Linked DNA regions of Arabidopsis thaliana. The protein of the gene in region 2 interacts with the protein of the main gene of each other region in a pairwise test. Each region holds a gene or a part of one and is shown on either strand. Other genes may lie near its edges.

Region 1 (4,061 bases), 4.8 Mb from region 2:
GTAATCTGCACATGGGATCCACATGGGAATGGCAATCAAGAAATTATTCATCGGATGTCCCAGCAGAGGAAGCTTCAAGAGCTCTCAACGAGCTTCTTCCGAAAGCAAGTGCAGTTTATCCAGACATAGAAAAGTGGGAATTTGCGGGAGCAAGGGCGGGCTTGAGAGCAATGCCACCTGTCACAAGCCATGGATCACTGCCGCTCTTGGGATGTGTTAATCAGCTCATAGGTGCTGGTCAGTTTTGCAACTTCTGGGTATTTTCAGGGCTCGGATCAAGGGGACTACTCTATCATGCTTGGCTTGGGAAACTCATGTCTAAAGCTGTTTTAAGTTGCAATGAAGAATTACTTCCTTCTGAACTAACTTCTTGGAAGAAAAACAGACAATAAGAGTACCATTGTTTACTTCTCAGTTCTCACTCTTGTTTGCAGCTTCAAGCTTGGAAGCTTGGTCAACACAGCAAATCTCAATTCAGACAAAACAAAAACTGAGTTCAGAATATTTTTTTAAAAATGGTCAATCATCCATAGTCTACAGAACTTTGTGGTTTAGGTACGTAAAACAGAATATTTTCAACAATGGCTTGGTTCTATGGTTGGTCCGCGACCCCTGGATATCGTAGGCATCCGTGGGGTGATCTCATAGTACGTACGGGTGGAGACGATTAGGTCGGTCTCGATGAATCCGAGTGGAACTCAAAAAAACAATGTGAGTCACAAATGCAGACAGAATCTAATGGAGGAAAAGAGATGTGAGCTTTTTCGGTTTTTTCTTCCTCCATTGATGAAAAAGAAAAAATGGGCAACAAGAGCGTTTTACATGTGTTCCACTTTAAGAGAAAAGACGAATATACAAATCCGATGCATAGAAGATGAAAAGGGTACCTCTGCAAAGTTTATAAATCAACAGCAGAAGAAAGCAAAAACTTCAAGAGTTCAACGAAATGACTTGTCATTCAAAAGAGATCTTAATGGACAGAAAAAAGATACACATATTTATGAATAGATTCATATTTTAAGCTACTAGTTTACTTACTACCACAGCTATGTGAAGAAAGAAAGAATCATTCAATGGTACACATTCAACAACAGACTTCTTCTGTTAAAGCCAAAGGATCAGGCTCGGTTTCGATTTCGATATCGTCTACGGTGTTTCACGTCGCAAACAGAGAAGGATTTGCTGTCGCGGTACTTACTTGCACCTCCAGCATTTCCAAGCGACGTTCCAACAGATCCAACTTCTCATTCAAAGAAGCCAACTTGCTCTTTGTGGTTGATTCTGAAACACACAGAGAAATTACAAACTCACAGACATCAATGACTTCGATAATCAAATTAGCTCATAAAAGAAAGTTTCATCACACACAACATTGTCTAAAACCAGCTAGAATTGAAGCTGAGAAGATCAAAGAGATCATTACAAAGATCTCTCTTAGCACATGGATCTAAGACCATACAAATGCAAATGAAATCTGATCATCTCAACAATTAAAAAGGTGAAATTTTTCACTAACCAACCACCAAAATCAAATCTCCCAATCATCAAAAACCTTACTTTGACAAAAACTCTAAAACAAAGTTTCTAAATTTAGCAAATACGAAATCGAGAAAACTCCAAAATTAGTCAATTGAATTCAAAACCCAACACAGAGAAATAAGTGAGAGAGTGAGGTTTACCAAATTGAACAAGGAATTCGAAGAGACGACGAACATTAAGAGAGATATGTGAGATAAATTCTCGATTCTCCCAATCTGCTTGAACAGCGATTCCTACGTTTACTGCGTTCGTGATCCCTCCAGCTTTCGCCATTATTAAACCCCAAAACTCTCTCTTCCACAAACACAACAGTACTCACAGATTTCGATTTCAAATTCTGAAGCTTTTTAAATAATTCGCCCTTTTTCGATTCAATCCAACGGCAGAAATGATTAAGCAATCGATTAGAGAAGGAGGGTCACCTTCCTTTTTTGGTGTCTCAGAGAAAAAGTTTCTGAATTTTATCGTAGGTTGTTTTTCTTTTAGATGATGTGTGATTGATGAAGAAGAAGTTAAGATTAGAAGAAGAAACGGGTGTTTTATGAGATAAAGAGGAAATATAGGGGCTATTTTATAATTTAAGATATTTGATATTATGTGGTTTGGTTTAATATTTTGGTAGATTGCTTAGTTAGTGTTCAATCTTTTTCGTTCTATTCAAATGTCACTATCAATTAAAAATTGAGCAATTCTTGGTTCTTCGTGCATATATACTATTACAACCAATCTTTAATCTTTGAATTCAAGATACGTTTGTTTTAAAGTCAAGTGAATTATTCGGTATGCTCATTGGTTGTAACTTGTATAACTATTTATAGGTTGTATCTATAATATTTACAAAACAGAACACATATTTCATCATACTAGAATAATTTTAAGTTGTGATTATTTCTGATGAGGCATAACTCATTGTCTATACAACAAATCAAATTTTGAATGGTTGTTCAATTAGCAGTAAACCGGACTAATTATATCAATATTTTTGTAGGTTAAAAGTGGATTACAGTATGCAAAATATTGGACAATAGTATATAATAGAGTGAACTGTGTTTACAATCAAATTTAAGCGCTAAATCAAAATCACTAAATTAATTTATTCAAACCGAGAAACTTATAACCCTCTACTTTTGGACTAAAATTTTGAATCACATAAAATCCTATATTGTACGACCGGTGAAAATTTACATCCCAAGGAAATTAGGGTTTATTTTTCTTCTCCTAGCTCCTCTTAGTTTGATTTCACATCTGAGATTTTTTTTACTTCGTTTTTGTTATTTTAATACGACCAAAAACATAATCTTTTCAGAGATATGTTAAACAATGCAGTTTTCATATGTTGGTCATGGTCATGTAACTTCGTTAATTTCTAGGCTGACTTTTTGCATCGTTTTACCTGAAACGACAATATATAGTATACTCTTTTTGTTTTGCAAATTTTCTCTAAACTATAGAAGCAATCATCTCAAATGAATCTCCCTTTATTAAAAATCTCAATGACTAACAAAAACAAACACACACACACAAAAGTGAGCTCTGATTTTACTTTAGGTAAAGTATAGCTTATATACTAAACCAACCTATATCACACTCAATTTTTTTAGTTAAAATATATATTATATATGTAGTTCATGTATGTCTTAATTATGTACTTAAAACCAAATGTGAAAGCTAAAAAGAATATAATCGAGAAGCTGTTCCATTGCTTTCACTTGAGACCATATATAAGTATATATCGTACAAATCAAACCTTTGGTTTGCTCTCCGACATGATTACACTCACACTTACTCCTGCATGAAAACATATATATTGACATAGTCAAACGAGTCTTCATATATAATATGCACGTATATATATTTGAAAGGGTTTTGAGATAATCAAGAACGAACAATTTGTTATATATCTCTTATATGATCTTAGCTGTTTGAAGATGTCTTATAATGGGACTGCTCAGGCTGGCTTAGCTGCAGCCTAACCTGTGCATGGGATTCATAAACTGCATCTACTAGCTCATGATGTCCCAATCCATTTGTGTTCGACGTTCCATAAGCCTGTATGCAAGACCATTACCACAACACACTTTTGTAACTACGTACGATCTCAATAATTAATTATTGAGATTTGTCTAGTTTCAACTAGGAGATTAATTTGATTTAAAGGATTTGTTAGCTGCAACTTGAAGTAATGAAGTTTGTGTTTCTATTTTACCTTCTTGTATAGTTCGACATTTTCTTGATGAATCCTTTGTACTTTTCTCGACAATTCGAGGTTTTCATGATGAACAAGATTCCTCTGCAAAAGATAAAACACTTATAAGAACCTGAAAACTAGAAATGATAACATTGATTAATAATGCGTTTCAAACTTAAACACAACATCTTTAGTATCTTTTCTCAAAGAACAGATTTTTTTGTAAATTGCAAATGCAAACACAAACCGAAGAAGAAACTAAAAATATCGTTTGCATTTTACATCTGCAAATTATGTGTGTTTACAATGTAAACACAAACAACAACATCCGAGT
Region 2 (6,850 bases):
CAAAATCAACCTCCTTTGAAAAAAACCCAAGCGCAAATGCCACTAGACTACCACCCAGTCACCCACTTGATTTTAGACTTTTTAGTGTTTGTGGTTGCATCTTTTTTGGTAAATCTGGCTGTCTCGCCAATTTTGCTTTGCTCTAGTGATCCAATCAAAATAATTTCTGATTCTCTTTCTTTTAGAAATAATTTTTCCGAACATAAAAGTTTAAGAAATTTAACTTTAATAACGAAATTCATTATGTATAAAATAATTCTCGTGAAATTGTAAGAACTAAGAAGCATATCAAATGCTTATCTTTGATCAAAAAAAAATAAAAAATGCTTATCTTTTGTTGTATCAGATAGAAAGTGAAAATATTTAAAGAAGTGTACAAACAAGGACATAATCTTTTTTCTAGTGTGTCAAGTACTGACTCAAATTAAAGAACACAGCGAATTTCACGGCTTAGGGCTTCGGGTACTTATATAGTACTAATGATTATTTTCCAAGATCCTATATTTGCCAACTCACGTTTTAATGTATACCTAAATAATTTGTTTAAAAAAATAATTAATTCAGTTCTTTTGTTTGTTTAATTATCAATAATCATCTAGAGATTCAGACGTAACATATTCTATAATTATTTTATTTTTCAGAACCTTATCTCTTTGTTGAAGATACAAATATAAACGTACGACAAAATCGACCTATATCTACTACACAATAAACATATGAGAACCGAAATGAATGATGTTGTCATGTGTCGCTATCGCTCCATGTATCGCTTTCGCCTTCTCCATCGTCGCTTGCTACAGCCTGATATAACAAGTCCGAAATGTAAGTGCTTTAATGACCAAAATGGTACTTGCAAACTGAAACGTAAGATTATAAATGTGAATAATGTATGGAACCTGTCGGATAGAGTTTGCCTTCTCTAGAATCACGCTAATATTGGTGTTCATTGTAGTTTCTGATGATGATGTCTTTGTCCTGACCACACGTCTCAAGTTGAATTGCTGTTATGATTCAAAAGGTTGTTGTTGGTTAAGAAAAATGCATTTTATGACTTTGTGGAAACAGAAATGAGAATTGGAGGATCAAAAAATCATTTCTCCCATTTCATTCCTATACAAACGAAACTAAAAACATGTTCAAAATATATTTCCATTTCGATTAAGAGGGAACCGGGACAAAAATGAAATACGAAAACAAATGTATATATTTTTAGTTTTAAGGGTTTGAGTTTTTTTTTTTTTTAATTATCGATTATGTAAATATGTTCCTTAATAAAGGTTACTTTGAATTAATAGAATAGGGAATGCATTTTCATATACCACAGAAATTTTCTATATAGCTAAAATATAAAGCAAGAATAAAAGACTCACTTTAGTTCGAATTTGATGCAAGAAGTCTCCAGCTTCTGTCTCATTTGTGTTGCCATGACTTTGCTTATAATCCCTCACATTGTTCTTCAGATGTACCTATCAACCATCACATAAAATACCTTATACCAAAAAGATGAAAAAAAAAAAACAGTAAAAAGGAGAAGAAAACTTAATTCTCCATACCTTGGTTACAAGTTTAGGATCAGAAACAGTGACAATGTGTGGTTCTTTTTTCTTGACTGCAGTTAAAGAATTGTTGTTCTTCTCAAATGCCTGTGTGAGAGCATCCTTTAGAGACTGCTTGTTGTTATCCTCGAATCCAGCTGACGGTATTTTCGAAACCATCCACTGTAACGGTGGGAGAGGCGGTGGTAATGGCTCAGCTGGATTTTGGAGGTAAGAGACATTTTCAACTAAACAACCATTTGTTGTTTCAATCTTTGGAAATGGAACTGGTAGAGAAGAAGCTTCAGCATTGACTCTGTGAAACGAATCATAGAGCTCTTGTTGCCTCTTGCTTTCTCGGATACCTTCTGATTCTTCTTCCCACTGTTGCTCAGACATTGACACAGAGCGATTGTCATTGTCACTGTTGTCTGAAATGTAAGAAGAAGATCTACAGAAAGTGTCCTTGTCTGAATCAGAATCAGGAAGTGAAGTAGCAATAGTCTCTGGCACCAACTGAAACGAAGAAAATGTATATTCATCTGGAAGTTTTAGCTGTAGTTCAGAACTTGGCAAGGTTTCTGAGGATTTGAAAGATATTTTCATGTGATCAAGTGGAGGAGATGAAGTAAACCAATCAAAAGGAGCCTTATAATCTTCTCTTAAGTGCTCTTGGAAGGTTTCAGAATCAATGTCTTCAACAATCTCTGGAATAGTTTCTGCTATAATTTTCGGTTTCGATGGTTTCAGTCCTAGGAGATTTCCATTAGTCCATGTTTTAATGGATTCAGTGTCACAAGAACTCTCAACTTCTTCTGATTCTTGATGTTCTTGGATACCACTAATATCATACAAAGGATTTGAGAAGCCATTGGAATAACTATGAGTGCCACTACTTATTTCCGAAGCCGCCCATGGATCTTGATGAATCAGTTCATCAGATTTATATACCGGTGATGATGATAAATGTAGCTCTGATGTAGCAGCACATTTTGTCTCATCAACACTAAAGTTGTTAGAAATCTTCTCTGTTTCTTGCTCTGTAATATCATTGTAAAGATTCTTCTGCACCTCTTTAGTGGCTTGGAAAGCTTCATCATTTTCAGATTCTGAATCGATGGTGTAAAGTGCATCAACAAAATCATCCCCTTCGCTTTCAGTCTCATCCTCATTGTCCATTTCCAGTTCCTTCGGTTTGATATCTTGGACCGCTTCAACCGCTGAATGTTCTTTAAGTCTTGATACCGGTTCAGCATCCAAGACAAAGTTAGTTTCCATTACTTCAGGAGCTTCATCTGTTGCACACTGCAGAACATTGCATTCCACTATCTCAGCTTTCTCGTGCCAACTAACACTAGAAGAACCACGAGCTGTTAAATCTTGAGAAGGACTATCACTTTCACTTTCACTTTCAGAAAGAACTGAAGCAATGGTGCGAGAACCCGGTGTAAACCTTGAAGAAGAAGATACCCTCTTCGGTTTCTCTCCACCACTTCTTGAATCGAAAGAGAAAGAACGATGCTCTTGCAAGTCGGATTTCGACTCAATTTCAATCGTTGAAGCAGTTTTAGAGGTAGAGGTTCGTCCACTGAAGCTTAAAGAAGTACATGTCTTCCTGAACATCATATCATATATTCATGTTTTGAGTCATATATGAAAACATCTCTACAATGTCAAATCCAAATGTCATTACCTGTCACTCTGGTTAGCCACAGAGGCAAGTCTTGATATATCTCGACCGCGTTGTATAGATTTTTTCTTCTGCATCATCCATACAAGTTTAGGTAGCAAACAAGAAAAAGAAGAAACTCTACAAAACATGGTATTAACAGACTGAATCTCTAAAACAAACCTTAATCTCTGAAGGTTTAGAAGCTCTTGATGCTCTTTTGAAATGAGTAGGATCCGAGTATCGTTTCAAACAAGAACCTGGACCATTTATATCAAATCTGACAAAAACCGCTAAGAATCAGCATCATATTTATTATCATCAGTCTAAAACATAGCAGAAACAGTAATAACAAAAAAGAAAATGAGAGTTAAAAGGTGTATATACTTGTCAAGCAAGTGTAACCGCGGAGGTTCCCGGCAATCTTCATATGGAGTCATAATAAACGGTGGCAATTCGTCATACATAAAGTGATTTTGCACATTTGGTATACGAGGATGCCACTCCAGACCTAAAACAGCATGTAAACACTATGTTCATTAACTATACTTAAATTTTCTAAAGAACTCAAATAGTGAAAGATCATGACTTATTTAATTAAGATCCATAAGAAAGACTACTAGTATCATTCATCATCAAATTCTAAACTCAAAAAAGAGTATTTTAAGCTAAGAAGTTAGTGCAAAAGGCATGTGAGCTAGGGCCTACAATAAACTCAACAGGATATAAATTTTTGATTAAAGAACAAACATGTGAATCTAGACATTAAAGAAGATTGACAAGAGAAACAAGACAAAAGAAACCTCCAGTGTATGCAAAATGAATGTGATTTGTTTGTGCAAGCACTGTCTTTTGGATTGTAGGAACTTTAGCTTCTATTTGCTTCAATCTCATCTTCAATTTGTTGCTTCTTGATGCTGTTATCATTACCTCCTCTTGTATTCCATGGAATATCTCTGCTGCGAATCTGAAACAATGTGAGTTTAACATAAAAACTCAGGACAAGTAAGATTGGCTGAGAACCATAAAATAAGCAAATGAAGAAGACCAAACACAGCAAAATTAAAGATTTTACAGAGAATCAAAGAAGATCACTGACTCCATATTGTCACATTTTTACTTAAGATTTTTTTTTTTTTAAAAACATTTATAAGTCAATTATAAAAAAAAAGAAACAGAGGAAACAGAGTTGACTTAAAGTACTACTTACTCTGTGAGATCACCGAGTTGACGCAAGATCCCGACGAGTCCAGAAACGGCGACGTCGTCGAGAATCGCTTTAGGGTCTTCACGGTCGACTTTTGTGTGAAGCTCTTTTTGCCCTAAACCGTAGACATTCCTAACTTGGAGCCTAACAAGCGGCATTTGCTCTGTTCTTGAGAAAGATTCCGGAGGAATGATCAGATGGGTTTTGAAGATAAGAAACAAAGATTGAGTTTTTGTGGGTTATGTTGCTTGAGGTGGGTGAGAGATTATGGCAGCTTAACCGCCGAAACGAGAGAGAGAGGGAAAATTTGGAGATTACAAAAAGGTTTTTCGTTGTAAAAAGAGAAAAGAGAGACTCGGAGACATTGCTAACACCGCAAGCCATTCCCTTTTTCAATGTCATCATTTTAACTAAAAGTGCTAAGAGAAAATTACGAAAAAGGGCTTGGAGCAAAAAGAAAGGTACCCATAACCTACCCATATGGAGCGAATCATGATCCAAATTAGTCATTTGTTACTTACATAATTTCCCGAAAATAAACTTTAGTTTTTATAAGAATTTGTTAGTGCTAAACATAAATTATTTAAAAAGAACTATAAACATTTTTAGTCATGTGTATAACCCCTACTTGTAATACTATATTTGTATGCTTAAGTCATCTAATGAGAACTTACTCTGCTTAATCTTCTACTACTAGCTACTAAAACAAAAAACTTCTACTACTTGTAATATTATATCATATACATTTTGCACAAATATGGAGTATAAAACTAGAAGTTAAAGTTTGGATCATTGAATGAGCATTTGAAGACTTCTATTATAAAATAGAAATGCGTTACAGTTTAGATAGCGTTAAAGTTTGAATCATTGAATGAGAATTTGGTCGTTTGCGAGGAAATAGACTTGTTGAGTTGGCTACATATTTATTGGAGAACAAAACTCCCATAAATGAGGCATCAATACATACGTAACACTTGTACTCAAACTCTATAGCTGTGATTTGTTTTTGTTTTTGACACCAACTATATATGAATGATGATGGTACAATTCAAAGATTTTCATAATGAATCTAGTAAAGCGGAAGTGTATGTATTGCCGTAATGGTGTGCCTCTCGCATCCTTGATCTATACAATCAAGTTTGATGTTACAAGAGTTGCATAATATCTTCCATCTACACACGCTGCGTAGTGTGTGCGCGTGTGGGTGAATGTATTCATACATCTATATCTTACACTACTTGAGGACTTGCACACATGCATGTGGATGTGTGACTTACTCCATCCTCGTTTAGGCATATATACACAATAATAAATCATGCACAAGCATTTTAGATCTGTGCTTCTAGAGTTTTGGATCTGGCTCCCATTAACCAAAGCAATTTATCAACTCGAATTCTTTTGTCGTTTTTCTTGATACTAACATATAAATACATTTTATTTATAAACTACAGTTCAGACATATGGATCGAAGATCCACAGTACTACTCCAGTACTCCATACAAGCTAATACACAGTATTAGAAGTAATCAATTCTTATGGTCCTTGGTAGGTATAGTATTATTAAATAAGTGATGCGATTAGATCAATGCATGACTTTTAGCTGGTCGTCTATTTATGGATGCTACCTAAACATAAATTTAATCACATGTCATTTATTATTTATTATTACTCCTAAATTGTTCTGTCCATTAAATATTTTATAAGTTGTTACTTGCTACTCCTATCAACCATTAATGGTAATCTTTGACGCAGATTCTATGAGCTATACTATTGCATTGTTTTCCATCATATATTATCAATCACAAGTAACTCTTCACAAAAAATGGCGGTCAATAAAGTGACACTTACAAAACTCAATGGTTTAAATAAAAACTACAACATTGCTGAAAAATATACATAAATTTTAAACACGAAATTGGTTAACAAAACAAAATTGGCGGTCATCTCATGTTTTTTTTTATATCATAGTAAATCTCGAAATGTGCTTTGATTAAAGATCAGACCATCGAATGGTGCACTAGCATTCTCATATAATTTGACATATAAAATAGTATAAGTAACAATATACTAATATAGTAGTAGTATATTAATCATTTGCATAAATATAAAACAAGAATTGGTCCAATGACCCATCGATGGCATCAATGCCTTGTTCTTGGATGAAACGTGGCATATACAGTACGGTGTCGGATTAAGACATGATACCATAATTAGATATCGTATTTTTCGAAAACGTCAATATGTTGTTAGTTGATTTTATGAGAGGCAGGTTTTTCCAATAAGATAATCTTTCTTTTATTTAATCAGAATCCAACTCATTGACTTTGCAATTGCTGATAATTTATTCACGATAGAAGAGTATTGATCTGAAGCAATTACATAGTGATAAATCTAGTAGTCATTCTAAATTATTAAGATATAAAATCACCAAACTGGAAA

Evidence for each region.
Region 1: the proteins of AT2G34150 (region 2) and BRK1 interact in a two-hybrid assay, tested with the Arabidopsis thaliana proteins (one study listed by BioGRID).

What each region holds. Positions count from the first base shown.
Region 1 is NC_003071.7:9,621,034-9,625,094, reverse strand, and holds BRK1 (BRICK1), read right to left. Parts: upstream 2,099-4,061; 5' UTR 1,813-2,098; coding exon 1,680-1,812; intron 1,282-1,679; coding exon 1,157-1,281; 3' UTR 760-1,156; downstream 1-759. Other genes in the region: AT2G22650 (FAD-dependent oxidoreductase family protein), read left to right, coding at 1-392; AGL17 (AGAMOUS-like 17), read right to left, coding at 3,454-3,588, 3,746-3,829. UniProt on the Arabidopsis thaliana protein: Involved in regulation of actin and microtubule organization. Part of a WAVE complex that activates the Arp2/3 complex.
Region 2 is NC_003071.7:14,418,691-14,425,540, forward strand, and holds AT2G34150 (SCAR family protein), read right to left. Parts: upstream 4,782-6,850; 5' UTR 4,570-4,781; coding exon 4,415-4,569; intron 4,172-4,414; coding exon 4,008-4,171; intron 4,002-4,007; exon of another isoform or gene 3,716-4,001; coding exon 3,592-3,715; intron 3,485-3,591; coding exon 3,388-3,484; exon of another isoform or gene 3,357-3,387; coding exon of another isoform or gene 3,297-3,356; coding exon 3,229-3,296; intron 3,151-3,228; coding exon 1,554-3,150; intron 1,467-1,553; coding exon 1,371-1,466; intron 1,002-1,370; coding exon 897-1,001; intron 802-896; coding exon 742-801; 3' UTR 573-741; downstream 1-572. UniProt on the Arabidopsis thaliana protein: Involved in regulation of actin and microtubule organization. Part of a WAVE complex that activates the Arp2/3 complex. Regulates trichome branch positioning and expansion.